4 separate regions of the Mus musculus genome follow, and regions 1, 2 and 3 are each reported to be linked to region 4. The links are microRNA targets in miRTarBase. Many come from high-throughput screens and were not tested one by one. Region 4 holds a microRNA gene; each other region holds the end of a gene's coding sequence.

Region 1 (7,895 bases), not on the chromosome of region 4:
TCAACTGAAGTTCCTTTCTCTGTGAGAACTCCAGCCTGTGTCAAGTTGACACAAAACTAGCCAGTACGCATATTTATGTAGGAATTGAATGTTTATAGATAGATTCCAGGAAACTAGAAAGACAGCCTTGAAAGGGGAAATAAGCTTTAAAGGAGAGAATTTGGAAGGGTGATAGACGTATGTGACATGAAAGTGGAAAGCAGAATGCTGCGGGTGGACAAGGATGAGGGGGATGGGGGTGAAGAGATTGTGGGGAAGAGGGTGTGGAAGAAAAACAACTAAGAAAGTATTAAGAAAGTGCCACAAGGAAACCTGCTTTGTGAAGTAATCAAAATATAAAGTAGGATTTAAAACAAATTTGTAGTTGCAGTCCAGAGTCCTATGAGTGCATCAGACTCAGGGGGAATGAATGGACTTTACTCAATATTACTCAGTATTATCTGGTTGAAATTGGAGAAAATGAGACCTGAAGGAAATCGTGAAAACATATATAGTGATTTCTAGGTAGAGTTGGAGAACCTGTCATCATGCTCCATAGGCTAAGGCATAACAACTTCCTGGGTCTACAGTATTGAGGCCAGCCTGGCCAACAGAGCAGGAAGGCCTCTTTCTCAAAAAGTAAGAAGTATATCTATGTATGTATATATGTATGTATGTATCATCTTTCTGTCTGTCTATCTATCTATCTATCATAAATCTTTCCTATATCTCCAGGTATCACCTACCTATCAATTATCTTCTTTCCATTTATTTATATGTCTGTCTGTCTGTCTATCTATCTATCCATCTATCTACCTATCTGTCATCTTCTATTATCTATCATCTATGTATCTATGTATCTGTATCTATGTATCTATCTATTTGTCTATTTATCTATCTATCTCTCTTATTGTCCACCTACTTATTCATACCTTAGTGACACTTGTACTTAGAAATCCATGCCCTGCTGGAATCTTGTCTCTTTCTATCACATGTGGATTCTAAGGAGATGCTGGCACAGTCTTTTCACCATTTGGTACACTCTACACAGCATATCTCAGGCTCTACACTCTAAGCCTCATTATTCTGCCTTTTATATAATACAAGAAAAAAATGTGGGTTTCTTCATCCATTTCAGTAAAAGGAGCAAGAGCTGCTAGAAGCACGCTCACTGATAATATAAGAAGTGCCAGCAGAGGGAAGGGAGGGTAACCCAAAACCACATCAAAGCTATTGTATCTTGCAAGTCCAAGCAGGACCATTTAATGGAAGAACAAAGGTACGTTGAGCCAGTGAAAACCTTTCAGGCCCACAGTTCTGATCCCTGGAGCTCACTGATATTCCCGCATCCCCAGACATTGATAGGGGAGGGTGTGAGCCATTTATAGGCAGGGAGATAATAATCCACTGAAAATGGCTCGTTAAAGCTATTCAGTCTCTTTGAAGTTTGAAAACTACTCTTTCTGGAGAGTGAAGACTCCCCTGGAGCTCACTGGCCAGCCAGTCTAGCCAAATCTATGAGTCCAGGATTCAGTAAAAGACTCTGCCTCAAAGGATAAGATAGTGAGCAATGAAGGGAGATGTCTGACATTGACATCAGGCCTCCAAGCACACACACACCTGCACACACACAAATACACACTCAATAAATATAATATACATTCTTAAAAAAATAATCACTAGTTTATGAGTGAGGAAAATAAGGTAGTATACAGCATGCATCAGCACTTTTCATATCTGCAAATCTCCTTGCTTCCTAGGAATGCTGACCATTCAGGGATCACTTCTCAGAGCAAGGATAAATGACAATGGTATCTGTACCAATGGACTTGTCCGTCAATAAATGATGTCACTGTTAATTCATCAACTCAACTTCACTGATTCTTTGGAGCCCATCTTAGTTACTTTTTTATTGCTGTTATAAAACACCATTGCCAAGACTCACGTGAGATCTGTATAAGGTTTTCCTTAGCTGGAGGACGGCCACAGAAGTCAAGTGCCCCTTCTTGTGCGAATACATTTTTGTGCTCTTGGGCTAGAGGATAATCTGTCCTTTTGCTCTGTCTTACTTATGCTGGAGACACAGCCTCTCTTTGGCCTGGAATTCATCAAGTGGGCTAACCTAACTGGCCAGAGTACCCTCAGTGATCTTTCTATCTCTACCTTTCCAGCACTGGGATGACAAGCATGTACCACCAGAAGTATTTTATGTGTGTAGATGTTTTGCCTGCATTTAAGTCTGTACCACATGTGTGTTCTGTGCCTATGTAGAGAGGGTACTGATCCCAGGAAATGGAGTTACAGACACTTATAAACCACTATGTGGGTGCTTCAAGTTGAACTGGGTGCTCTAGAACAACAGCCAATGTTGTTAAACACAGAGCCTGCTACCCTAGCTTTTTTTTTTTTAATGTGAGCTATGGGGAATTGAATTCAGGTTATCACACTTGCAAGGGAAGTATTTTACCAACTGAGCCATCTTCCAAGTCAAGTGTCTTTGTTGCATGTTGTCAAGGGCCACATCACAGCATGGGCTCTCAGAGGTGAGATGACCTTGGTCCCCAGCCAGAGTCATCATATATGCTGGGGTGCCCAGGAGCTCCTCTCCCTGTCCTCCTCACTTTCTTGGAAGCAGTTACTTAGCAGACAACACTCACCCTCTACAGGCTCCCAACCATTACTGTGTGGCCTCCCATAAACAATCATCCGGGTGGGAAATAGATTCTTCAGATGGAGAGGTACCTTCAGACAAACTAACCCTGGGTAGCACCAGGTATGCAAACATGCAGCTGTGTCTGTCTCAAAAACAGTAAAATGGAGAGCAATACAGAGAGAGAGAGACACCCAATGCCAACCTCAGGCCATGAAACGTACACGCAAGTGCAACAATGCATACAACACACATATATACCAAACATACAAAGCAAACATCTCCCATGGAACGTGAGAACAGGAGTCACTTTTAACCTATATGCTTCCCTCTTCTTCCAGCTTGAAAAGTGTTCTCTCATCACTATGGTGACCTGCTACTAGGTGCCTGGTGTGTGGCAAGGCTGCCTGCACACTGAATTCCTTACTGCAGAAAAAGATGTGCCTGACTGCTTGCATAGAAATGATGTTAGTTGATATATTAGGCTACAGGGATGCCTAACTTATTTTCGCCTGATTCTTCTTCCTTCAATATCACTACCAGAAAGTTTAGAAACCTATATGACAGACAGTGCCATTTCTACTGGTCAGTGTCATTCTGTGGCAAAGAACTCCAAAAGTAAGGGGCACGCAGCAGGGGCTCTGGTGTCAAGGATAAAGTTCCACCCCTTCCTGCTCCACAATGCCACACCCACCCTCATAGGGAGAGGAAAAGACACAAGCCACTGCAAAGTTACAAATTTATTGGTCTGGAAATAAATACAAACATCTTATTAAGAAACTGCCCTGGAGAGACATATACAGTGATTTCTTGTCAGCATTCAATCACCCTGGCCTGGATTCCTGATCTTTCTACACAAGGTCAGTGGAACTCCTCCTCCACGGTAGGAGTTGGCAGGTAAACTGATCCCTTGTCTCTCATGCCGCCTATAGGGCATAACTACTTTTCCTCTAGCAACTCCAAGATCCTGGAAGTCGCCAGGCCTTGAGGGCTGACTCCCAACGATCAAGTGTCTCTGATCTGATCACATTTCCTATAGGAAAGGTTCAAGGTTAGCCACAGTAAGAATCAAAAGGCAGTAGTATGGAGCATGGGCATTAGGCTGGCATTGCTTAAGAGGCCAATGCTACAAACCCAGTCAGCAGGAGGGGCAGGAGAGGGAAGCAAGTTCCCGTGGAATGTACAGAACCCAAAACCAGTCCTTCCCCCACTAGAACATACGGTTCTCTCTGAAGAACCAGCGATGGGCCAGTTAAGAGACATTCAGCTATCAAGTTTCAAATCAATGCCAGACATCAATTATGGGAGACAAGGTGTGACTCAGTCACACAAGATTCCAGATCAATGAAATCACACCCACCAGGTTCTAGCACTTGGCCCTACCATGAGTCCTCAAAATCCCAGGGCCATTCTATCCCCACCCTTCCCATCCTAAAGACTCATCCCAGACAAGGACCCCTGTCACCTGCTGGGTTCTCCCTCTGCCTCAAAGAATGCAACAACAAATCAAAACCATCTTCCCGAGGGACAGAGGTGTCATCCACTCATTCACTGTGGAATGGGAGCGGGGTACAGTAGACTGCATAGCAAGAGTCTTAAATCACTGATGCCCCACATTTGCTGGATCACTTTCTCTATAAAGCCTGGGGTTTGTTACCAGTTTTTCTTGCACGTTAAAAGGTTGCCAGAAAAACAGGTTGTGGGTTTCAGTGTCCAGAACTTTAAAATCAATTCCTTCAAGTGAGCCTAGTAGACTTGTTGTGTTTTTCCTCTACCTGCCCTAGACCCTGCCTTTTTTTCTCTTCCTTTCTTGGTTTCTCTACTTAAAATAAGGCGCCCAACTTTCCTGCCTCTCTCTCTCCTTTCAAAACAGAAGTTTGTTTCCAGGAATGAGTTTAGTGGGGAGGAAACAGGAAGTAGGCAGGTTGGCAAAACGCCTATGAACCAGAATGCTGGATCAGCCTGGGCTTGGAGCCAGGCAGTGTTACAGCTATCTATTTCTTAGTTTTGGCAGTTTGGTGTCTGAGGGTAGAGAGAGGGTCCACCAGGCCACTTGTTAGCAGAACAGTACGCTGAACTGCTTCTTGCCTTTGGTCCACCACCACCCACCCTGGTCCCAGGAGGCAGTCAGAACAGCCTGGGTCTGCCACCGCCAGAGTTCATTCTTACAAAAGCAGCTTTAGATTAATACCGCATTAGCGTAGGGTGGCAGGCAAGGGTTGGGGGCTAAGGGAGAGGCCACCAGTCCAGGGTGACTGATGCACAGATTGCTTAGCAGGACACCTCCATGGACTTGGGCCCGGCATTGTTTCCGGTGGCACCCGAGTTGGGGGTGATGTTGAGACGGGCATCCTCACTGGTATGGGAGCGGCTACGGGACCCCTCACTGGTGTGCGAGCGGCTTCGGGGGCCCTCGCTGGTATGGGAGCGGCTACGGGTGCCCTCCAGGGATGTGACACTGGAGCCAGAGGCTGTGCGGGACCGCATCAGGCGAGTCATGCTGGCAGAAGGCACTGGGAACACAGAAGACAAATATGGTTAGGATACAGGAAGCCTCTACAGGTGTGGGACTCTACCCCTGGCTGCCAGCCATGACAGTTAATCGTAAGAGCCCAGCTGAACACCACTTCTCTATTGTCTTCATCCTGTGAGCCATCTACCTTCTGTGTCACTCACAAAGAGGACAGTAAAGTCCAATATGTGGGAAAGGCACATAACAATTACATGGCAAGAGTCCTGAGCCATGACCTGGGTCTGACCCCCAGTTTGTTATGTGCTTATTAGCTAGGTGACCACCAGATCATCACACTTGAAGCCTTCCCATTTTCATTTGCAAAATGAAGACTTCGTGTAACCTCCTCTTAAATGTACTGTCAGTAGGCAGTAGAATGTGGAAGCCAGCAAGGTTAGTTCCTGCACATCCCAAGAATAACCCCCAAGGTCTCACCACATGGTTCCTAAGGAAATGTTAGCCATCTGTCTGCCTTCCAAAAGCCTGCTAGCTCTCAAACCTTAGCATGACCAAAACTGCGCATACCACAGCAGATGACTGACAGAATGGGATACAAGACAATCCTCCTCCTATCTAGGGTGGCAGTGCTCCCCCCAAATTCATGCTCACCTGAAACTTCAGAATATGACCTTGTTTGGAATACTTAGAGATATTTAGTTAAGACAAGGTCCTTCTGGATTAGAATGATCCCTAATCTAAAGCCCAATATCATTAAAAAGAAAACAAGAGAGAGCCACCCCATATGGATGGAGAGATTGGTGTAATGCAGCCAGAAGCCACAGAAGGCCTATGATGTAGTCAGCAGAATCCAGAAGGCAAGAAAGGGCCTTGAAAAGTGAGCCCAGCCCTGTCCAAACCTTGACCTCAGATTTGCAGCCTCTGAAGTTGTAGGAAAAATGCATTCTTGACGCTTAAGAGCTTTATTTGTGGGGATCTCTTAGGTTACTCATTGGGGTGACTAATGCCACACCCCAATGAAGCACAGCCCTAGATCAGACACCCAAAATTGGATTAGTCCTTGCTCAGTGGAATTCACTCCTTAAAGAATTAGTGTTGTTCCTGGTTTGTCTGTCTGTCTGACTTTCCCTTTCTTCCTTTCTTCCTTCTTTTCTCTCTCCCCTTCTCTTTCTTTCTTTCCCTCTTTCTTTCCTTTCCTTTCCTTTCCTTTCCTTTCCTTCCTTTTCCTTTCTTTCCTTTTCTTCCTGGTTGTTGTTTTTATCCATTAGTTTTTGGTTTTGAGCAAAGCTCCATTTATCCCAGGCTGGCCTTAAACTCTCTGTGTAGCTGGGAAGACCTTGAATTCACTATCCTTCCACTTCTTCATTCCAAATGCTGAGACAACAGAAGTATACCATCTCAGAACAGCCTGTTTTTAATTCAGAAAGAGGTAGGGTCAGGGCACATCTGTGACCCCTATGTTTGTTCCTGCGTCTCGATTTCTCCACCCAAATCTCTGAGTCCTGATGACCTCACCAGGAAATGACAGCTTCCCATGACACCAGACACACAATGGACGAGTCTTAGGAGCCCAGGATCACAGGCAGGCAGCCTGTGAGCTGGAACCTTCTGTTTCAGCAACCCACCCTTTGGGTCTGTGTCTCTCCCTTTTATTTTTCTCCTAGATCTATGGGACTGCCTGAATGACAAGCTCACTCTAAGCTTAAAGCAGGATACAGCGGGGTGCTCAGTCCTTCAGTTCCTTGATATAATGATCTAGCAAAGATGGCTGGGGAGATGGTTCAGTGGTAAAGAGCACTGACTGCTCTTCTTGAAGCACCTGAGTTCAAATTCCAGCAACCACGTGGTGGCTCACAACCATCCGTAGTGAGATCTGACTCCTTCTTCTGGAGTGTCTGGAGACAGCTACAGTGTACTTACATATAATAAATAAATAGATCTTTTTTAAAAAGTGATCTATCAAGGAAGCACCCTACCTTCGATCTCAGGCACTCTGGGCTCCCTCTTACATAGAGCTCTGGCTCAATCAGCTTCAAACCTCTTTGCGGCCTGCTTAGCCTCTCCCTTCTAGGATTATTATGATGGTATGGTTAAAGGAGACAAAAATCCTTATTAATCCTTCATCACCGTTATCATCTCTATCGTTGCTACAACTGCTGGTCTCCTGAGTGAGCATGTGATCAAAATTAGGGGCATTCCTTATTCAGCTGCTGGTCATTGTTTTGGTTGTTGTTGGGTTTGTGGTTTTTTGTTGTTATTGTTGGCAATGGTGGTGTTTAAAGAGATAGTCCTAGCCTAGAATAGTGCTTCTTGTCTGTAATCCTAGCACTTGGGCGACTGAGGCAAGAGGACTATTAGGAGTTCAAAGACCAGCCTTGCCAACAACAATATTGTCTCATTCTTGCATCAAATGGTTTTTAAATGTTCTCATGTAAAGCTAAATAAATGTCAGATGTGAAGCAACTTCTTCTATCTATATCTATATAGATATAGATATGTGTATATTTATATCTATATAGATATAAAATCAGACTGAACACACGATGAGGTCCTCTGAGAACACGCTGCACAGATAGGCTAGCACCATCTTAGTTTGCTGTGTGACATATGCAGCACAAAAACCAAACTGGGTGCTGATCCATTCCTCATTCAGCCATGTGTGATTGTTACTACTCCTTCTTAGACTTGCCTAGTGCTTAAGAGCTGAAGCCAGCCAAGATGACAGAGCCCTCTCCAGCCCCCACTGACTATGACATTACCACCCCAACACCTTTCTGTGCCCAAGATGTTATACTC
Region 2 (7,895 bases), not on the chromosome of region 4:
TCTCTCCTATGTGTATGGCACCCCTGGAGGTGTGCAGTGGTCCTACAAGGCAACATGGACAGAGTAAGTCCTGAGTGGCTGTGTTGCCTCTAAATGCTTGTGAAGCCTCAAAGCCTTTCTTCTCCCCCACACCCTGCCATGTTCCGTAGCAAGCTGACCATAGCATTCAGAGCCAAGTAAGATCTTAGCCCCACCCCTTGGCCAGGGAACACCTTTCATCTTTCATATGCCTGATCTGCTGGCCAGAGCAGCTGTGCACATTTCACCTGAAGCAGCTTCCTCATTCAATGAAGCCCAACCCATTCTTGCTTTGACTCTACCCACCACCCAGAGAAAGATACCCATCTGTCAGTCCACAGAGATTTAGGGACAGGGCATGACATACCTGATACACTCAATTATTTAAACATTCCCAAAACATTTCTAAACCTAACAACGTCTGCTTTGGACTTGCTGTTTAGTTAGTAATAAGTCCAGGCCTTGTGAGTTAGCTCATCGGGAAGAGATTCTTGCCTTCAAGCTTGTTAACTTGAGCTTAATTCCTGGGACTCACAGAGTAGAAGAAGAAAGATGACTTCCATAAATTGTCATCTGACCTTTATGGATGGACACACACATACACACATACACACACACTGAATATGTAAGTAAATAAATAAATGGAAAAATATTTAAAAAACAAAACAGTGACTTCCTAAGTTGTGTACATGGCATTGAAACAAGCACTGGACCACATGGAAGCCAGCACAGGATCATTCCAGATACTCGTCACAGTCTGTGTATGATAACCTCTGGGGAGGAAGAAGGCTCATTACTGTCTGATGGCTCCTCACACTCACATGTCCTCTCCTAATGGGGCAGAAGATCCTTTCAAAGCACACTGAGGCAGCTCTTACACAGGTTCAACTCCATCCTCAGCGTCTTCTCAGAGAGCTGTTTTCAGCCACTGTATTCACCAGCCACCAGAGCACCTGGAACTTGAGTTAGGGATGGGTCCCATCATCATCCTGTGCTTAGGCCAATGAGCACAGATATGTGCAGTGAATTCACCTGCACAAACTGAGGGATACCCTGGGGAGGGCTGGCCACCGTTCTCAGTCTCTGGTTTGCATGTTTGGAGCACATACTCTTGTTTTTCCAATCTCTTCTAGATCGTTATGTTGCTTCTGTGTTACTTATAAAAGTTGGTGATGAAAAACAATAACTTAAGAAACCAGAAATGTAGCTCAGTGGTAGAGTGCTTGCCTAGCATGCACAAGGTCCTGGGTTCAATTCCCAGTGCTACAGTTAACTAATTAATTAGAATTAGGATTGCTTTGTTTAGTTACATTTAGGGTTTTGCTTGCCTGTTTTCAGCCAGACTCTCACTCTGTAGCCCAGGCTAGTTCCACACTCTTGGCCCTCCTCTCTTTGCCTCTCACATTATTGACATTTGTGGAGTTATTTAACAGCAGTTTACTCCATTCCAGGAAAGAAATGAAACATGTTTATTTTTAAAGTTATGGTCTATGGTATCCCTTTCCTTTCACGTTATGTGGAATTTAATTATATCCAATGCTCTATCTGTTGCATTGCTGAAAAGCAGAATTCACTCAGCTTCCTGTACTTTCCCTATCTCGGAGTTGCAGAGATGGCTTCCTGCATCAGAGAGTGTCGGACATGTACCGAATGCAAGGACCCAGCTAGCATTTGACTTCAGAGTTAATAACAGGCCGTGGAGCCGAAACTGGACCGTTACAGAATCTTCTTGTTTGTTTGCAGCACTAGGGCTCAAAACCATGGCCCTATACATGCTGGGCAAGCACTCTACAACTGAGTGATGGCTCTGTTAGAAATAGCTTAATTTGGGGTATATTTTCTAGTGAAAAACCATTGCCTTCATTCTTGAGTGTACAGGAATTGAGCTTTGGCACGCATCTTTGGTGTGTCTATGCCTTGCCCCTAAGCAGACGCCTATTTTGGTTTTTTACAGGTCCTTGAGCGGTTGCAGCAAAGAGGATTTGAAATTGTGGGTTCCTGTGGAGGAGGAGTGGACTCGTCCCAGTTCAGTGAATATGTCCTCCGACGGGAACTGAGGCGGACACCCCGAGTACCCTCAGTCATCCGGATAAAACAGGAGCCACTGGACTAAACAGACATATTTCTTATGCAAAAAGAAAACATACACAACCAATAACAATATGAGAAAAGGGACATTTGTGTGCAGCTGGGACAGTAAACCAAGCTCTGAACCTAAAATTGAATAAAAGACATTTATATCCACTAGAAATCACACCTGTATTCATATGGGAACAATTGGAATCATGATATCCTCAAGATGTAAAAAAATATATAAATATATAAATATCTATATGTCAAAAGGTAGGAAATGCAAGGAGAGAGAGAGAGAGGGAGAGAGAGAGAGAGAGAGAGAGAGAGAGAGAGAGAGAGAGAGAACGCAGTGGGTGCTGTGATGACCGTGGTGTTCTGGGCCTCTGAGGTCTCTGTCCAGTAAATAAGCCATGAGCAGGGAGGACAGTCTCCTTACTGCTTCATTGCCAGCAGCCATCAATTGTTTCTTTTTTCTTTATTGTTCTTTTCTTTTTTTTAAACAAATAAACAAAACACCTGGGCTGGTGTTCCTTTGCAAGTGGAGGTTTTGTGTCTGGTCAGGTAGGGACCAGAAGGGAGTTCAGAGAACCACTCAAGAGCACACCACACGGGACGTGCGGTAGACAGGACATCTGACTGCAGTCTGTACAGGACTGGCACTTTTGTCCACCGCACAGCCGCGACCTTTCCTTTGTTTTTATGCTGATCGTTTGGCAGAGGGGCCAGAGTTATTACTTGCTAGAGATCTCCAGTTTCAGTCTGCTGCTTTCCTACAATTTTTTCAGATTTTATAATGTATTAAATACAATAAACTCTGTTTTAAAAAAACTGAGATCTGTGTAGAACACACATGTTGGGATGAGAATGAATTAAAATGAAATTTTTCCTTTTATTTTCTCTCTCTTGTGTTGAACATCAAAAAGTGGTCTTAACAGCTAGAGCTAGCTTTAAAGTCAAAAGCACAAAAAAGATAAGGGTGTAGCAATTTGTTCTACACAGTTCTCTTTCAACGTAGCAAATGTTTCCTGTGCTTTGTCATTCTGTCTTATGAGGAGGATGAGGAAGGAAACCAGGGCCTCGTTCAAGCTAAGTGTGAATTCTACCACTGAGCTACTTCCTCAGACCCCTCTCTGGACCTCCTCACTGGAGGAGGCTCAGGTAGCCTAGGCAGAACTCGGAATCACTGTCACCCAAGAAGGTCTTGACTTCTGGTCCTCCGGCCTCCATCTCAGATTCTGGGATTCTATGTTTGTACTACCATGCCTGGACTCTGATCTTTATTCCTACAAACTTTTGAGTCTCACTTAGATTTCTTGCTGCAGAGGTAGCCAGATAAATATTGGGTGGGCGGCTTAGCATGTGTTCTTAGCTTGTGATCCTGGGATCCTCAGGCACACGACTGGTCTTGGTTGGCCTGCCCCTGCTGTATATGATACCATCCAGAGAGTCGGCAGGGCTACGATGTCCAAGGCAGATATCCATCCATATGACTGTGAGGCTCCCTGTGGCTAAGACCCCTTCATCAAGTTGCCTCTGTAAGTACTCTAAGAAGCGAGCTGTAGGGAGTGCAGTCCTGTAAGAGGCCATGCCCCGACCTGTGCTGTGACTCTGTCCTGTTTTCTGAGCAGACATAACCAGTTCAGACTGAGAAGAAGGGCATAAGACCCACCTGCTGAGGAGAATAACAACAAATTTGCAGCCTACTTGAACCCACTATCGTTATCAGCCAAAAGAAGGGTGTTATAACTTTGCAAGTGATAAGGGGAAATGCTGCGGCCAAAGCGATCATTCTTACCAGTCAGAAAGTCGTAAACCTAGGAGTCCATCGTACTTCAAAGTCAAGTCCTCAGCCATTTCAGGGCAGTGGTGATTCCAGTTTTCCTTCCTTCTTTCCTTCCAGTTTGCCTTTCTGCTACCTTCCTTTCTTACATCCTCCTTCCAGACACCCCAAAGCACCTGGCATGCTGCTAAGATTGGCAGGTGAGCTATAATGTGATTTTGGTGCGGCGATGCTCCTCTGGTGATGGGCTATTTCCATCCTGAACTTACCTTCCTGTTTTAAATTAAAAAGTCTGTGCCTGAGGACAGCAGTAATGAAAATATCATGGCTACTGGGACTAGAAGTAAGCTGTTAATGTCTGCTGCCCCTCTCGGAAACACAGAGGCAGCCCGCACGTTGAATTTCTTTAGTGATTGCCAACAAGGCTGCCACACTCTTCCCTAATGTCCCCTCAGATGAGATAATAAACCACAGGATCCGACGCAGACAGCCAGGGCTGCCCTGCCAGCTGCTCTGGCATCCCTGTACTACTGCAAGGATGAAAATTTACCCTGGTTCTTACTAGCAATCTATTTTCATTAGACAAGACAGCTCCAAACCAGTAAAACAGAGGCCCTGCTCTGGAATTCTATTGGTGACAATCGAGTTTCCAGTTAGTGCTGGGGAGATGGCTCAGTCAGTAAAGTGTGCCTTGCAGATGTGAGGATGTGAGTTTGAGCCCCAGACCCCGTGCAAAAGGTCGGGCTCAGTGACAGATAGCACACACTTATAATTCCAGTGCTGGGGAGGCAAGGCTGGAGAGGTAAGGCAGGCAGATCCCTAGAGCTTGCTGGCCAGCTGGCCAAGTCAACTCAGCAAAGTTCCAGACTATGGAGAAACCTGTAAACAAAAAGGTACTCTGCCTTCACACAAGGCGCACATGCACCTGCATACACATGGACACAATACTTGATATTCACTCAGCATCGTCTGCAGTTAGAATTGCCTCCCCCACAGTACTTGTACCTCACAGAACTGTGTGCCCTGACTGTGATTTCATGGTCATTTCTAAGTTTTTAAAGACAGTTTATGTGACTCCAAGCTCAGGAGATTGAGCTCAGTGGAACCAATTCCCTTTGTATTCATGATGCTCTTAGTTCTAGTAAGATCTCCAGACCCTCTACACTTCAGAAGCAGTGGGTTAGCAGGCCACAGCCTCAAAGTCTCACTCCCTTCTCACTCTCTAATATATAGTTCACATGCAAATCTGACCGCCTGAGCTTATAGCAACCTGGACAGCTGTGGTTTGTCCTCCTTGAGGATTTGATCAAGGATTGCATGTGACAGTTATCAATAGTGTCTCTTTAGACTCCTTCTGAGAAGTTTTTAAGAGGAGGGCCCATCTAAAGGGTCTAGCTCACTTTTTTTAACTTATTTTTATTTTTTATTAGATATTTTCTTTATTTACATTTCAAATACTATTCCGAAAGTTCCCTATACCCTCCCCCCGCCCTGCTCCCCTACCCACCCACTCCCACTTCTTGGCCTTGGTGTTTCCCTGTACTGGGGCATATAAAGTTTGCAAGACCAAGGGGCCTCTCTTCCCAATGATGGCCGACTAGGCCATCTTCTGCTACATATGCAGCTAGAGACACGAGCTCCGGGGGTACTGGTTAGTTCATAATGTTGTTCCACCTATAGGGTTGCAGATCCCTTTAGCTCCTTGGGTGCTTTCTCTAGCTCCTCCATTGGGGGCCCTGTGTTCCATCCTATAGCTGACTGTGTCTAGCTCACTTCTTTGGTAACACAGTGTAAAGGCTTGGATCTACCTAACTGTTTCCTCGGTAGAGTCAGATGAGGATTTTCTTTTTCTGCAAGAACACTGCATAGCTAGTGTCCTGTCCTTACTGCATCACATCCTAAGAGTTGCCTTGTTTCTTGTTGATGATGACAATTTTTGTTGTTGTTGTTGTTGTTGTTGTTATAGTTTGAGTCAAGCTCTCACCATATAGCCCTCGAGGGCCTGGAACTCCCTCTGTGGAGCCTGCCTCTGCCTCCTGAGTACTGGAAATAAACATGTGCCACCATGCCTAGCCAGTTTGCATAAAGTGACCTCCACCAGATGTACAACTTGGTTTTTCTCTTCATAATTGTTAATTAATCCACATATATGTCTGATGGTTTTACCATACATTACCAGGATTTTCAATAATTTTTACCTTGTTGGTTATAAAAATCATAAAAGTGTACTTCTTTGAATGGCTAAACCACTGATTTTTAAAATAACTACTTTTTATACAGAAGAAAAATACATTTGTTTAGCACGGGGTAGACAAACCACAGTCTCTGACCTGCCCTTTCTTAAGAAATACTTTGGGAAAATAGAGCAAGCCCAAACTTGGTTCCAACTTGTAGGTTGCTCTCTACATAGGAATAAGAACCATGCGCTGTCAGGCATTGGGCATGCTTGGTGTGCCAGGAGCTATGCAGAGCTTGAGTGGCAAGAAGATGAACTGAAGTACTTCAGGTAACTAAGACTCTGAGACATCAAGTAAAGAGCACAGCGGAAGTTAACGTTCCATTAAGCTTTTATAGGAGCCTCAAAGGAAACCACAGCAGCAAGGAAAAATACGTTTCACGGTGCAGCATTAGAGGACTACAAACAGCTTCTTTTTTTAACTATATGTATTTATTTGTATGTTGTTGTTGTGTGCATACGTGTGCCACAGTAGTTTGGAGGTCCATGAGTGAGTTGTGAGAGGCAGTCGTGCCTTCTACCGTATGGGTCCTGGGGATTGCACAGAACCTGGCTTTTCATGCTTGATGGCAAGTGCCTTCGTCTAGTGATCCAATTCTCTGATCTTAAAGTTGACTCTTTAAGTTCATTACCTGTGTGCAGGTGCCCTGAGAGGCCAGAGTTGCAGATCCCTTGGAGCTGGAGTTATAAGCAGGTATAAACCACCCAGTGTGGGTATTAAAAACCAAAGGCCACTTTTTTTTTTTGCAAGATCAGAAAGCACCCTTAATCACTGAGCCATCTCTCCAGCCCCTAAAGTTGGTTATCAATCATCTGCTTCTTAGTTGGAAAATGGATTCCTAATGACAAATACTTTGAGCATCCCATATAATAGACTGTACCCTTAGTTTTGGTTATATTTTGATGACAATGACCTCGTTTCTGCCCTAGATGCTGAGGTGTAGTGAGCAGGGTTCTCACATCCAGTGGCAGAATGGGAGTATCTAATTATCTAACCACAGTCCAACGCACTGGGATGCACTTCATTTCCTATTTATAAGGCATGGACTAGAAGTGTGCCAAATTATCAGGGGTCACATCTAGGAAAAAACAAAAACCAGAGAAGATGCCCTCAGGGTAGCACACGGCAGGATGATAGGGTTTGCAGAGCGGAGGCTGCCCCTGAGCTTTGGATACGTCAGGGATAAAACACTGTGTGGGGTGCAGCTCAGCTATGCTGGAGATAAAACAAATAGGCTAGAAAATAGAAATAGAATCCGCTGGTGGAGGTTGAACTGAACTTGAGTCTAAATCCCACCTGCTGGAAAGTCATGGAAGGTGGCCCTACAGATTGATATCCATCTAGGGCGGCAGTTCTCAGCTGTGGGCCAGATATCCTTCATAGCAGATGTTTACAGTACGATTCATAGCTGTAGCAAAATTATAGTTATGATGTAGCCACAAAATAACTTTATGGTTAGGGTGGGCACAACATGAGGAGCTGTTGTTAGAGAGTCACAGCGTTAGGAAGGCTGAGAAGATCTAGGGGCTCTGCTGACCTGACTGGCTAAGAAGAGTCTGTTGATATGAAAGACAATGAAGTGGTTGCTTTCTCCATCCATCCATCCATCCATCCATCCATCCATCCATCCATCCATCCATCTGCTACAAACTGGGCTGAGAGCTGTCACCCATTAGGATGTATGAGAAAAGAAGTCATTATCTTGGACATCAGGGTGACACTCGGGTGCCTGTAGGGCCAGGCAAACCATATCAACTATTAACAAGAGGCAGAAACCTGTAGCATAC
Region 3 (7,895 bases), not on the chromosome of region 4:
CCTACATACACACACAGACACACTCTTACACACAGAGACACATACAGAGACACATACAGACACAGACACACATACAGACACAGACACACACTTATACACAGATACACAGACACACACACGGACACACAGACACATATCGACACAGACACACATACGGACACACATAGACACACACAGACACACATACAAACACATACAGACAGACAGACATACAGACATACAGACAGACAGACAGACAGACACACACACACACACACACACACACACACACACACACGTATGGCAGCTGTGGTGGTTAGTGACTTCTTAGCCCCTGGAGTGTCAGTTCTAAGCTCTCACTGTCAGTTGCAGGCAGCTGAAGCCCCTTCCAAATCAGGAGACTTTGCCCTGGCACAGTCATTACAGTGGGATGTGACATCACCAGAATACATGACCGAGCTTTTGCATAAAACATCTGGGACATACAGGTTTTCAACCTGTAGGTCGTGACCCCTTTGGAAGTCGAATGACCCTTTCACAGGGGTCACATATCAGATATCCTGCATATCAGATATTTACATTATGATTCATAACAGTAGCGAATTGCAGTTATGAAGTAGCAAAATCATTACTTTGTGGTTGGAGGTGGGGTCACCACAACACGAGGAACTGTATTAACAGGTCACAGCATTTGAAAGGTGGAGAACCACTGACCTAGGACACCATAGGTCCCCTGTTTCCAAGGGAGGCCAAAAGTCATGTTGGTTCTCATCCTACCGGAAACCAACACGGTATGGACAAGCCACTCAGGCAGGGCCACACGGCTAGCTCATGGGCAAGTTCGGACAGGTCTCCTTCCAAATCAGGAGACCAGGACCAGGTCTCCTGCTCCTGAGCTCTGTCTATTCTGCTTGCAGCCTCTCAGTCATGCCTGTGTGACACTATTTCACCCCCTCCCAGCCACGCAGCCCCAGGACTGTTATCCCACGCCGCTGGGGATTGTCCCCAGGCTGGGGAGACTAACAGTCTGCCCTTCTCTCTCCAGATTGAGCGGCAGCTCTTTGAGGAGACGGTGAAGACCCTCAATGGTTTTTATGCGGAGGCTGAGAAGATCGGGGGCAGCTCCTATCTGGAGGGCTGCCTGGCCTGCGCCACGGCCTACTTCATCTTCCTCTGCATGGAGACCCACTATGAGAAGGTGTGGATTCCCCATCTCCCCTTCCCCAGCTACCTTGCCACAGGCTCGTCTTTAAGGACCCCTGTTTCTGCAGGTTCTCAAGAAGATTTCCCGTTACATCCAGGAGCAGAATGAGAAGGTCTTTGCTCCCCGAGGGCTCCTGCTCACGGATCCGGTGGAACGCGGAATGAGGGTTGTATCCTTCCGCGCTCTTCTACACGAGGTGCAGAGTTGTCTACCCAACGGGCTCCTTGAGGATGTCGATAGGAAATGGGAGCCTCCCTAAGGGCCTTCCGGGATCCCACAACCCACTGGCTGTAGGCGTCTTTCACCGTTAGTTATTGGAGTCACATGTGAGTTTCAGGCTTGGTATTTATTGAACTGCATGCCATTGGTGCTTAAAACAGGTCAGCCACCATGCAAAGGCTTTGAAAAATACCATCTCGAGTTCGAGACCAGCCTGGTCTACAAAGTGAGTTCCAGGAAAGCCAGGGCTATACAGAGAAACCAAAACAAAAACAAAACAAAACAAAACAAAACAAAACAAAACAAGAAAGAAAGAAAAAAAGAAAAAGAAAAATACCATATCATGTGATGTCCATCTCATTCCCAAGAGGTCGGGCCTTTCCTAGCCTCCGGTGTGTACCAGGATGTTGAAGAGAAGCTGGCTCAATCACTTACCTTCAAGCAGCAGATTGTCACAGTTAGGATTTGAGCCCAGGCTCTCTTAACCTGTAATACTTTCTGGTACTTGAAGAGTCTGCACGGCTTCCACAATCTCCTTGAATAGCCTGTGTTGAGTCCCACTCTCCACTGAATACAGAAGATCAAAATGAGCGGCAGGATGGGGTTGCTGTATGGGTTGGCTGTCTTGGTGACAGGCCGGGCAGGGGGTGGATGGGTTCTGCCGACCCCACTTGGAACAGTAGTTCAGGTGAATAGCTCCCCGTGCAGTAGTTAAAATAATATATTTTACAATAAAGCTGAGAGAAGAGTTCAGAAAACATAGTCCCCAGAAACACACATATTTCCCCCGATTCTTTTTTTCCTGAGTTCTTGTGTTGTGTTCAGTACTCAGGTACTCCATTTAATTTTCACAGGAACCTCAAGGCGCTGTTAGTGTCCCCACTTTGCAGATGTAATAATTGACTGTTAGCAGGTGAAGGGACTGGCCTGGCCTGGCCTAACTGGAGTGGGCCATTAGGGATATGGAAAGGGAAGTGTTTGTATCTAACACCATTTCCCAGTGCATCTCGAAGAAAGCCAGAATCTGTCCATGGGATCCCGTTGTGCACTCAGCCCTCTGTCCTCTCAGAAACTGTTAGCTGAGGCTTGGAGAAGGGTTTGGATTTTAGTCAGGCCTCTGGTCTTTGGGAATAGAGTGCTTCAGGTCACAGGCTCGTTCTGGGTCTGTACTCCGTTCTTTGGTTAGCAGCCGGGTGCTCGAAGCTCCTTAACTATCGTCCCAGATCGAGATCTCCATCTATGAGGACCGGTGCAGCAGTGGTAGTTCCAGTAGCGGCAGCAGCAGCGGCAGCGGCAGCAGCAGCGCTGGCGGGGGAGGGGCGGGGGCCCGGTGACTGGCCGAGAGTCCCTGTAGGGAGGTGTACAGCCGGAGCGAGGGGCTGGCAGATCTACGGAGGCTGCGCTACCAGAGCACCCGCTTCTGAGTCTTTCTCTGGGCCCACCCTGCCATGTGGTGCGGAAGGGAGGGTGCCTGCCCGCTGTTCCCTGTCCCCAGACCTTTGCTCCTTGGCAGGATCTTCTTCTTTCTGACCCTGGACCTTTTTTTTTTTTTTTTTTTTTCTCCCATGAGGCTGATCTGAGTCATCAGACCCAGACCGTCCTAGGATGTCTGGGGTGGGGGTGGGGGACCCAGCTTGGACAAACCCTATCTTTCCTGCCTCCTTCCTCACTCTAAGGAGGGCCTGGAGAATTCCCACCCTGCATGATACTTCACCCTCAAAGACTCTTTCTAAGGCCCAACGCTACTATGGGCTCCTGCTTGTCAGTGGTCCCATCTCTTCACTGGAGATCTGGGGAGATGGGTGCCCTGGGAGCTATTCAGCCGCTCCAAAGGCAGTGACTTTCCTGTCCTCAGAGCCGAAAGTTCTCTCAGCCTTGCCAAGAAGCACCCAACTCTGAGACTTTGCACCCCACCAGGAACTGATTTTAGGGGTTCAGCCTAGGACTCTGATGGGCTCCACTGGGGTATGGGAAAACTTTGGACGAATGAAGCTGGACAGAGCTTGAACTCCTGAACTGGATCCAATTCCTGCATCGTGTGCATACATGTGGAGTGCACTGTGTGCGCAAATGTATGTATGTATTTGTATGGGTGGCTAAGCATGTACACATGTGAGCAAACAAGGGTATGAATATGAGTGCCTGTATATGTATGACTGCACAAGTCAATGTGTGTATGTGCACATGTGCGTGAACCTATGTTTATCTGAGTGAATGAGGGAGAAGGTAAGTGCATGTGTGCAACACGTGCATGCAAATTATGTATGCGTGTGCACAAGTGTATTGCGTGAGTATACATGTCTATGTGTAAGTATGCATGTGTTTGTGTGTGTGTGTGGGGAGAGAGAGAGAGAGAGAGAGAGAGAGAGAGAGAGAGATTCGGTTGTGTCGTTGTGTGTTCTCTTTGGCTGCTGGGCTAATGACTACTGAGTCCTGCCCCATCCTGTCTCACATTGGTCTGCAGAGCCTCTCTGTGAGTCCCTCCTGGCCCTCTGTAAGTCAATGTTCTAAAGCTGGGCTGTCAGCTTGGCTCTTCCTCTTGGCCTTTCTCCCACCTCTGGCTCTATTGTACACATTCTGATGGAGGGATTGTTGGGCTCCCAGGAGAACCAAGCCAGCGTTTAGGTGGTCTTTGGTGCCCCTCTCCCAGCCCCCATGGCACAGTGGGGCCACAGATGCTGCATATTCAGCCTGCCCAGGTGTCAGGACCCTGAGGCCCTTGTAGATGAAGCTTCCCCGGACATTCAAGGCAAATGTGCCTTGCGAGGAAAAGCGAATGGAGCCATGGCTCCCTAGGGGAGCTAAGTTGAAGGTGATGCATCCTGGGGCCTTAAGATGGACAGAAAGGGGCTGCCTACCTCAGCGGGCAGGAGGTGCTAGAACTAGACAGGAATCACCAGCCACTATCAGCAGCTTCCTGGAGCTGAAAGGGCCTGTCTCTCTACAGCAGGAGACTGTGCTGCGGATGGAGAGGGCTGGCCAAGCCCCTGACGCCTCAGGGTGCCCGAGCCCCATGAGCCCTGGTGCAATGAACCCCTTCTTTCCGAGCTGCAGCCCCCGATCCCCTGCAGAAGCCTGTGCCCTCTGTAGCCTGCTGTGCAGCCAGGCGTCCTGTCTGACTTTGCACAGCCTGTTGGGAAGGTTGGGAAGAGGCAAAATGGAGGGAGACCTTTTGTTTTATTCTGTTCCCAATAAAAGGACTTGCCAGCTTGAGGCTCCATGCTGTTTCCACCAGGCCATCCAAGGAGACACTGGGTGTGGGTGTGAGGAAGCAGCAGATGGCATGCAGGACTGATACACTGTGCCCTTGGAGTGTATGGGACAGTGAAGAGGGGGAACTGTCCAGGTCCCTCTACCAGCCCTTAACCTTTGGTAGATTTGCAACTTCGGGTGGAGCCAGTAGGGTCAAATAAAAGCTAAGCCAAGAGTAATTTATCATTGAGATAGGGAGGGCCTGTTACTTGAGTTCTTACCCTAGGTCAGGCACTGTCTGGGGTTGAGTCACACAGGTGGGCGGTTCAGTGTGGAGGACTAGAAGGGGCTGGCAAGGAGACTCAGCCAGTGAAATGCTCGCCACATAAGCCTAGTGACCCGAGTTTGGGCTCTGGAACCCAGGTAAAGACGGACAAAGAGAACTGACTCCTTAAAATTGTCCTCTGATCTCCATACACGTGCATCACAGAATGGTACCCCCCCCACCCCGTGTGACTACATTAAAATTTTAAAAATATTAGAAAGCAGGAAGATATTGGAAACTAGCATAGCCTATAGCTGGAGTTTCACCAGATTAAGCATTTATTAATCACCTATGATATACCAGACACTTCGATAAAACCGTATTCTGGGGATGAGGAGGGATTTGAAGATTAGCTGAGTCTTCTCAAAAGGTCCAGAGAGGTTGAATAACATGCACCACCATAGAGCCTGTGGAGTTAAAATGGATTTACTCCCAGGTAGAAAGTTGTCCGAGGTTTTGGCGGGCTGGGCCATGTACACAGATCTGTGGGTCAAGGGTCTGTTCCAGAAGGGACCTCGATAGACCACAGGGGGTGTCCTGGAGTGGGGTCACGAAGGAGGTCTCTTCTGAGGGGTAACTCAGGAGCTTCCGGTTGCTGCTACTAGGGGACACATGGCTGGTGCCTGAGCACCCGGGGGAGCCTGGGCCTCTGTCTCTGCTGAGTCTTCGGGTGTGTGTGGGTGGGTGGGGTTGGTGAGCTGCTCCGGTCGGTGGCAGGGAGGTCCTGCTTGAGTTCTGCTTTGGGGGGAAGTTGGCTGTAGCTTGAGGTCAGGTTTAAACCTCAGCCAAACTTTAGAGAGGAAGGCCTGCAGATGGTGGGGGATTTCCAAACTGGCAAAAATTCACCCGCTCCCCCTACCCACCACCTTGCTTGACTGGCTGAGAGGCATTCAGCTCTCCCACTTTTAAAGGGCAAGGATGAAGGAGATAAAAAGGGTAGCCATGCTGGAGAGATGGCCCAGCAGTTGAGAGCACTTCCAGAGGGCCTGAGTTCACTTCCCGGCACCCACATGGCTGATCACGCCTGTGACTCTAGTTCCAGGAGACCTGGCACCTTCTGACTTCCTCTGGCACCAGGCACACACATGGTACATGCAGGTAAACACTCGTACATATTAAAAGAACATTTCTTTTTAAGGAAGAAACATGGTCGTATTTGTTTGAGGCTTATCGTGTGTGCACGAGACTAAGCCACCACATAATTCACTGCTTGGGCCTTCTGGTGAACTTTCCATGGTGTGTGTTACTATACCCATTTTACAGAGGAGGCTCACAGAAGTTAAATGACCCCAAATCACACAATTAAGTAGCAGAGCTTGGCTTTGGATCTAAAGAGGAGGCTGCAGACTGCAGAAAGGCACATGGGTGAATCTAGTTTCAAGGGTCCCTTAGATACTCAGAGACCAGAGTCGTAGATTCCCAAGGAAGGACCTGGGTCTATTTGTGTCTCTAGGTTCTGAGGCAGGCCTGGCACCTCCATGCCCCAGGAGCACAGAATTATGGGTGGGCTGTGTGCACAGGCATGTAGTACTCACAGGGACAGCTCAGTGAATGGCAGGGGAGACCTGATTTTGCAGATCTGGTGAAGTGTGTGGCTCTCTCTGCTGCCTCAGTTTTTCAAGCGGTGGCCTGTCCCCTCTGGCTGGTCGCAGCCATGTCACTTCCCCTTGCTAAGCAGACACAAGCCACAAAGGGCAGGTCTTCCCTGGTTCCCTCTGAAGGGCACAGCCATCCTGACACACTCCACGCAAGTTTCAGTGCATTCATTGCCTTTCTTCCTTTGGTCAAAGACAGCCTGTGTGATACGAAGACTACAGGGTTTCTATAAGTTCGAGTGCCGCCAAGTGGTGGGATCATGTACTGCAGCCAAGAGCCAAAAGACTACTGAAAAGCCAACCACCCTAAGCCAGTATAGCTGTTGTGGCCTGGAAGTTCTTTGCGGTGTCTAGAATTGTGAGTCCAGGCAGAGATCCTGCGACAATCACTCTTTCTCCCCACAGTCAGCTTCAGCTGCTCCAGGCCCTGCCAGGTTCCCCCCAGCCCCCGACACTTCCTGTGAGGTCCCCGAAGGAAGGACCCTCACCTGGCCTTTGCCTTCTATTCCAAGGACAAGCTAGTGAAAACGTGGCTCCAAACAAAATCTGGCTTTGAGCCCTGACTTCAAGATGTGGGCCAGCATTAGAGGCAGCCTCGGCTTTCTCCATCATCACACAGGAAACACTTCACACAACCGTTCAGACCTAATCATGAGACCTGGATTAAAAACACTGGCTCCACAAAAGTAATCAGACCCAGCCTGGAACAAGTTCAAAGAGAGACGAAATTGTCTATCTGAGGTGGAGGAGAGGAGGTCTGGAGAGCTGGTAGCGCACCGGGCCCTCACTTCTTAAAAAGTCAGTGTACTGAATACATGAGCTCTGTGCATCTTTCTGTGTTTTATTGTCTGATAAAATTAAACAAAAAAGTGTATTTGCTCCAAGGTAGGAAAAGAAAGCAAAACACTAGAATTCATGGTTTACTGAAGATCTATTAGCATGCCTCGTGTTAACCCAGGCAGTTGCAATTCAACATATGAAGAGTGTGTGTGTGTGTGTGTGTGTGTGTGTGTGTGTGCGCGCGCGCCTCTCCTGTTTGCTGTTTATTGGGGATATTTATAAAAGTGTTTGATATCTTCCCAGACAGCTCTGCCACCAACTCCATAGTCTTTTCCTCCCACTCACAGACTCTAAGGGGAGCCTGGGGGGGGGGGAGGAAAGATCAGAATATTAATTGTGTCTTTCTTAAACATTGTGGCTTTTAAGTCATTATTAATATTTTTTTAGTTGTAATTTGAAAAAATACTGCACTCAGACAATCTTGTTCTCGACTCCTGAGTTTTTAGGTGCCCTCCCTCAGCTGTTCCTACCTCCTCTGCTCCCTTCTCTGATTTCCCCTCCTGCCATTGTCTCCTCCAGACAGGTCCTGCTGGAGAAGCCA
Region 4 (7,224 bases):
CCAGGGGTGGAAGTGCTGACTCAACACCACCTGCACTGTGAGTTCCAAAGGATCTGATGCTCTCTTCTGGCCTCCGCAGTCTCCTGCATACACATGGTCAATACAATGCACTCAGGCACATACACATAAATAATTTTTTAAAGGAAAAGAAGAGGGGCTGAAGAGATGGCTCAGAGTTTAAGAGCACTGACTGCTCTTCCAGAGATCCTGAGTTCAAATCCCAGAAACCACATGGTGCCCCACAACCATCTGTAATGAGATCTGATGCTCTCTTCTGGTGTGTCTGAAGACAGCTACAGTGTACTTATATATAATAAATAAATAAAATCTTTTTAAAAAAAGAAGAAGAATAAGAAGAGAAGGGCTGGAGAGATAGCTCAGCAGTTAAGAGCACTCGCTGCTCCTGCAGCGGACCTAGGTTCAATTCCCAGCACATACATGGTAGGGAGTTCACAACCATCCATAACTCCAGTTCCAGGGATCCAATACCCAACTTTGACCTTTGCGGACACCAAGCACATATGAAGTTCACAGACATACATGCAGGCAAAACATTCACATCAAATAAGATGAATGAGCCTAACTATAAATCTTTTAAAGAAAAGAAAGAACATCCGGGTGAGATATGGCTTTTTCCATTCAAAGCTATGATCAGCTTTTAGTGAGCAGCAAGGGGTTTTCTTCTTAGCTTTTAACATGAAAACCATTTCAAATGCATAGAAAAGCCACCAGACGTGGGTGATGCCAGGGGCACCAGTGCAGCTCTCCCACATCCCATTCAGCACTTCGTCCCATTTGCTCTGTTTCTGGCACCCTTGTCTCTTCTGGGTGTGGCCAAGGACCACCAGAGAGAATACCGCATGTGTGTGGCCCTCTGCAGCTGACAGTAACACTGTCTCGTACATGAGTATATCTATACCCATGCTGGTAAATGCAACGTTTATACCATACTTCCATGGTATGTGTGTAAAATCATTAATTCCCTTTGGGAAGGGCATGCCTTAAACATCACTCGATGAATCCTGAATGTTAACTAACCACAAATGGACCCCTAACAAATAAAAGTTCTCTCATGACCAGATTTGTAGTGATTTAAAGACATATAACATGGGCAATGTGTTTGAAATGTGTATTGTTCCAGGAAATCTAGGCCATAGAAGCTTTATTCTTCTTCACCACAGCATATACATATATACATACATGTATGCACCTGTTCTACATGTGCTGGGCACGTATGTGCAGATGTGTGTGCACATATGTATATGTATGTGTTAGTATGTCTAGGAAAAAAAAAGGAACCTATCACACTATTAGTTCTGACATTTTCCTAAACAGAGAGCAATAGGGTGGAATTAAGACTATATGGGCAAGGCAGACAGATTAATATCCTCCATGTGAAAGATCCATAGAGTGTGTAGGCTCTGCCTGCTCCTGCCCAATCTTGACCTCCTTACAGAAAGGAAACTTTCTTCTGAGGGAAGCAAGGCTAAGGCAAGAGGGCCACAAAGTGCATGTGAATACATGGAGGGGAGACTTTAGACACATCGGGGAAAGCTCAGAAATTCACCAGAGGAGTCCAGCCTGGAAAGGAAGAAGAAGATGGCAGCTGCTGACTCTGCCATGTCCACTGAACCCCCTCTCTGGACACTGCCACTTCCATTTCATGAGTGGATCATTCTATGTGAAATGTTTGTGTTAAAATTCAGTCAACACGCTACAAATCCGATGTCTCGTTTCCAAGACATATTCTCTTTTTTGTACCGCAAGGCTCTCACCAGTCACACGGACAAGTCAGCTTGGCTGGAAGCGCAGGTGCGGCAGCTGCTACAAATAGTTAACCAGCAGCCAAGTCGACTTGATCTGAGGTCTTTGGTGGATGCGGTTGACAGCGTGAAACAGAGGATCACCCAGCTGGAAGCCAGTGACCAGAGATTAGGTACGTGTGTGTGTGTGTGTGTGTGTGTGTGTGTGTGTGTGTGTATGAAGCAGTCGGGTTCCCTCTCATGGCTTCCCTGTCTGTGTGCATTTGTGGTAGAAGCTAACAAGTCACAACCAGCTTTCTGGGTTGCCCAGTGGCTGAATCCTGTTTGTGAAGCAGCATGAGATTCTAGCTGCCTCAGAAAATGAGGGTCTCCACCATGTGTGTGGAGTCAGACGAGACTGAAATGGCCCAGGCAGTCCCAAGAGCTGGGAGTGGTAATCATTAAGAACAAGGGAGAGAGGTGATGGGTGTCTTAGGCTTTGGTGCACTGGGGCCAGTGAGATTGCTTAGCAGGTGATTTGCTATGCAATCGAGATGACCAGTGTATCAGTGGCTTCTCTGTTGCTGTGACAAAGCACCATGACCAAGGTAACTTGTAGGAGGAAGTGTTATTTGGGCTTATGATTGCAGAGAAATAAGAATTTACCACCATCTCATAGAGAAACAGCAGGCAGGCAGGCATGGCACTGGAGCAGCTGCTGAAACCCCAAGCCCAGTGACACACCTCCTCCAACAAGACCACACCTCCTCCAACTAGACCACACTTCCTCCAACAAGACCACACCTCCTCCAACAAGACCACACCTCCTCCAGCAAGACCACACCTCCTCCAACAAGACCACACCTCCAACAAGACCACACCTCCTCCAATAAGACCACACCTCCTAATCCTCCCCAAACAACCCACCAACTGGGGACCAAGTATTCCAATGCTTAGGACTTAGGACACACAACTCATTGAAACTATAACACCCAGAGTTTGATCTCTGGAACCCACACAGTGGAGAGAAAGAACCAACTATTGAAAGTTGTTCTATGACCTTCACATGTATACTATGGTGTACATGCCTTCACTTACACACACACACACACACACACACACACGCACGCACGCACGCACGCACGCACGCACGCACCACCAACAGTAACAACAATAACAATAATAATAAGACTTTATAAAGATATTTATTTATTTGTTTTATGTATGTGAGTACACTGTTGCTCTCTTCAGACACACCAGAAGAGGGAATCAGATCTGATTACAGATGGTTGTGAGCCACCATGTGGTTCCTGGGATTTGAACTCAGGGCCTCTAGAAGAGCAGTCAGTGCTCTTAACTGCTGAGCCATCTCTCCAGCCCCCATAATAAGTCTTTTAAATGTAAAATTCATTATAGGAGTTGGGGAGATGGCTCAGTAGATAACACACTTGCTGCACACATGACCTAGAATTTGGATCCTTGTAGCCATGTGATTGCTGAGTGGACTGGAGGGCTACCTGTGGTCCTAGCACTCTGGAGGCTGACACAGGATCTCCAGGACAAGCTAGCCAGAATATCAGGGTTTAATTCAGTGAGAGAACTACATCAAAAGACTGAAATACTACTGGGGAAGACACTCAGTATCAACCTCTGGCCTCTGTATGCCACAAGCACCTCACAGCCAAACACATGCAAGTATGCACAGACACTTACATCACAAGCACACTCGTGTGCATGCATGCACACACACACAAACACACACAGTTAGACGGGCACAAGGCTCAGCATGAGAATTCACTCGAGGTGAATGTCCAATGTGTCTTATACTCAGGCAAGCTGAGAGTGAAGAGGGAGGATACATCCATGTCTGCTTGGCGTCAGCTTACCACGATTGAGTTAATGTTAGCAATGCATGTAGTAGTTCACAGGTAGTGCTCAGATGACAGGCCCGAGCTGCAGCCTCCTGTCCTGTGTTTCCTTCCAGTTCTTTTAGAGGGGGAGACCAGCAAGCACGACGCACACATTAATATCCACAAAGCACAGCTGAATAAGAACGAAGAGCGGTTTAAGCAGCTGGAGGGCGCCTGCTACAGTGGCAAGCTCATCTGGAAGGTGACAGATTACAGGGTGAAGAAGAGGGAGGCCGTGGAGGGGCACACAGTGTCCGTCTTCAGCCAGCCTTTCTACACCAGCCGCTGCGGCTACCGGCTCTGTGCCAGGGCGTACCTGAACGGGGACGGGTCGGGGAAGGGAACGCACCTGTCCCTGTACTTTGTGGTGATGCGCGGTGAGTTTGACTCGCTGCTGCAGTGGCCGTTCAGGCAGAGGGTGACCCTGATGCTTTTGGACCAGAGCGGCAAGAAGAACCATATTGTGGAGACCTTCAAAGCTGACCCCAACAGCAGCAGCTTCAAAAGGCCAGATGGCGAGATGAACATTGCCTCTGGCTGTCCCCGCTTTGTGTCGCACTCTACTCTGGAGAACTCCAAGAACACCTACATTAAAGACGACACACTGTTCTTGAAAGTGGCCGTGGATTTAACTGACTTGGAGGATCTGTAGTGTTACCTGATAAGGAAACTTCTCAGCACAGGAAAAGGTGTGGCTGTCCCTTGGGCGCAGCCCTCTGGACTGAGCAGGCTCTTGTTCTTGTCTTCCTGCCTCCGATGTCTGATGTGTCATCTTTTTATCTTGGATCCTTCCCTGGTTTGAAACTTTAAACTCTTGAAATATTGCTGTTATTTATATTTTTGTATCTTCCAAAAAATTATAATAATTTGACAACAAGGCCTGGGGCTCCTCTCTCTCACTGAAGTCTGGGAAGTGTTTTCAGGGAGTCCAGTGCTCAACGGGACTGATACAGGGGCAGAATTCCCACTGACACTCGTTGTCATTTATCAGCTGACTCAGTGCTTCCACACCTGAGCCTAGGCCTGCAGCAGCCATCTTGTAAGAGACAGGCAGGCTGTGCCAGTCAAGTGTGGGCAGTGTAGCTACATATGCTGCATTTGGACCACAGATCTTCAGGGAGATGCCAACCGCTTGGAAATCGCATCGCCCTTTTGTGTTTTATACAGGATCCACTAGCTGCATGTAAGCACAGTTTGCCAAGTTGTATAACAGCTAGGAAATGGGTCGGCTCTTCGTCCTTCTCCACTAACACAATGGGTGCCAAGGAGTGGATGTTTAGTGAACCGAAAGTTCAGAGTTCATTAGGTTTGACCAGGTGAGAAGTATTTTCTTAGGTAAAATTGTCAACTATACCAGTTCACACAACTCAGCCAGGTGACCTTTGCATGGCAGTGGGTGTGAGGATGAGCAAATTTGTTATGACAGAGAAAAATATGAGAAAAGGACAAAAGGGGAACCTGTTCACCATGGATAGCAGCTGTCTGAACCCTTCTGTTCTTCTGGAAGAACTTTTAAATTCATATGCTGACCAAAAAATGAGCATTTGTAGAAACTTGCGGAGTTTCCTGTCAACATTTTGAGTGCTCTGAGAGCAGAAATGACCGGGTTCTTGTAGATCTGTCTTTGCAGTGGTTCTCAACCTGTGAGTTACGACCCCTTTGGGGGTCAAATGATCCTTTCTCGGGGGTTGCCTGAGACCATCAGAAATCACAGATATTTGCATTACCATTCATAACAGTAGCAGAATTACAGTTATGAAGTAGCAACAAAAATTATCTTATGGTTAGGGGTCACCACAACATGAGGGGCTGCGTTAAAGGGTCACAGCCTTGGGAAGGTTGAGACCCGCTGGTCTTTTGGGTCTGTCTGTCCCTTCAGCTCAGTAAGCCTCAGACTGATCTGCCCTCCTGCCCTGACTGAAAATGGGATCCGTGCCATCCTCCACTGCTCATGTAACATTGGCTCCTAAGCACGGAAGGACAAGTGTCCTGGGACAAGGGTCACGTTAGAGGCACAGGGGAGGCTATGCTCTTGTAGATGGCGCTTAACCTGTGTAAGAGACAGAACCTGGGCTGCAGAGATGGCTCAGTGGCTAAGGGTGCTTGCCGCTCTTCCAGAGAATCTGAATTCAGTTCACAGTGCCCATGTCAGGTGGCACTCCAGCTCCGACATCTGATGTCCTCTCTCTGGCCTCTGTGGGCATCTGCACACACCTTCACATAGATGCTCACAGATAGACAACCATAAATGAATCTTAAAAGTAAAACATGGGGCTCAAGAGATGATTCAGCAGTCAAGACTGCCGGCTGCTCTTTCAGAGGACACAATTTCAATTTCTAGCACTCACTCGGAAGGCTCACAACCACCTGTAACTCAAATTCCAAGGGATTCGGTGCCCTCTTCTGGCCTCTGTGGGTACTGCATCCATGTTTGCAGACATGCATGCAGGCAAAGCACCCAGCCACACAAAATAAAATACTGCTTTTAAGTAGAAACTGCTTACCTGACTAGCCTCTGTGAGTCCAACAATCCTCTTAATCTCTTCTGTGATCAGTGAAGATTCTAGAGCCACGCCACAGGACTTGTCCCAAAGGATGGAAGTTGAAAAAGCAGATGTAGCATAGAAATACACTGTACCTTTGCTGGTGAGCAGTGATGGCCATGTACTTAGAGTAATCTAGGAGTCCAGTCTCTAGCCCACAGGCCAGACTGGGGGGGGTTCTGTGGTTTGTTCACTATTTCATGTCTGTCTGTATGTATGTGTATATACATACATATATATACATATATATGTATATATACGTGTGTGTGTGTGTATAGTGTGTGTGTGTGTATAGTGTGTGTGTGTATAGTGTGTGTGTGTATGTGTGGTGTGTATGTGTGGCATCTCCCTTCATCAGTGGTCGATTCCATTGATCCATTACTAACGGCATTATGGGTGGTAATGAGACCCAGCTGGAGGAAGTGGGTCGCTGGGCTATGCCTTTGAAGGGCATGTCTTGTCCCTCGCCTCTTCACCTGCCCCTCCCTCCACTTTCTCAGATCTAAATGCCCTTCCACCATAACACTCTGCCTCACCACAGGCCCAAGTCCGTGAAGCCGAGAGAGCATGGAGCTTCTGAGGCTGTGAGCTGAGCTGAGTTCTCCATCCTGAGCTGTGGTTCTGGGGTACTGTGTCCTGGGATGGAAAAGCAAACAAGCACCGCCTCTAATTCACTTTCCATCCCATGCAGCCACACCCGTGTGTTGTGTTTTCCAAGATGTGCTTGCAAAAAAGCATCCTAAAAATATTCTTATCTTGGGCCCAGCACCTTGACCAGGCAGCACAGTGGAGCTAGCTCTGGAGGCGTAGGTGTGGGTGAGCAGGCCTAAGGGCATGAGAGCAGGAAAGCTGCGGCTGCCTCCTGTCGATGGCAGCACTGGGTGGACTAGCCAGAGCAGTGCTCAGAGCTTGTGTTGCAGTACAGATAAGGGAGAGCCAGTCAGCGCACTGACCAGCTCAGGGGCCACCCAGATATCATCTGCAAATTGCTGGGATACATTGAAAAGGCCAGTCTTACTGATTCAGAGC

What was found. Region 4 holds the annotated microRNA mmu-miR-3473c (UCUCUCCAGCCCCCAUAAUAAG, at 3,111-3,132, shown strand). A microRNA usually pairs through its seed, bases 2 to 8, with sites in the 3' UTR of a target mRNA and lowers its output. Matches are read on the target gene's strand: a 7mer-m8 pairs with bases 2 to 8, a 7mer-A1 pairs with bases 2 to 7 and ends in A, and an 8mer does both.
Region 1: the mRNA of Ndrg1 is a reported target of mmu-miR-3473c. Seed matches in the 3' UTR shown: 7mer-A1 at 4,485-4,491.
Region 2: miRTarBase lists Kctd1 as a target of mmu-miR-3473c. Seed matches in the 3' UTR shown: 7mer-A1 at 2,375-2,381 and 7mer-A1 at 2,391-2,397.
Region 3: the mRNA of Golga7b is a reported target of mmu-miR-3473c. Seed matches in the 3' UTR shown: 7mer-A1 at 3,742-3,748 and 7mer-m8 at 4,369-4,375.

Annotation. Positions count from the first base shown.
Region 1 is chr15:66,925,967-66,933,861 of GRCm38, forward strand. It overlaps Ndrg1 (N-myc downstream regulated gene 1), which reads right to left. Exons shown (of 16, transcript NM_008681.2): 16 at 3,352-5,142. The coding sequence ends at 4,901. Among named protein-coding and RNA genes, the nearest start is that of Ccn4, 39 kb to the left of the region's middle.
Region 2 is chr18:14,963,773-14,971,667 of GRCm38, reverse strand. It overlaps Kctd1 (potassium channel tetramerisation domain containing 1), which reads left to right. Exons shown (of 5, transcript NM_001142731.1): 5 at 1,973-2,983. The coding sequence ends at 2,131. Among named protein-coding and RNA genes, the nearest start is that of 4933424G05Rik, 21 kb to the left of the region's middle.
Region 3 is chr19:42,265,727-42,273,621 of GRCm38, forward strand. Golga7b (golgi autoantigen, golgin subfamily a, 7B) reads left to right here. Exons shown (of 5, transcript NM_027694.2): 3 at 1,025-1,177; 4 at 1,251-1,352; 5 at 2,626-4,622. The coding sequence ends at 2,736. Among named protein-coding and RNA genes, the nearest start is that of Gm34347, 7.4 kb to the right of the region's middle.
Region 4 is chr1:191,994,510-192,001,733 of GRCm38, reverse strand. It overlaps Mir3473c (microRNA 3473c), which reads left to right and starts at 3,100; the gene lies at 3,100-3,180. Traf5 (TNF receptor-associated factor 5) reads left to right here. Exons shown (of 14, transcript NM_011633.2): 13 at 1,766-1,936; 14 at 3,727-4,531. The coding sequence ends at 4,304.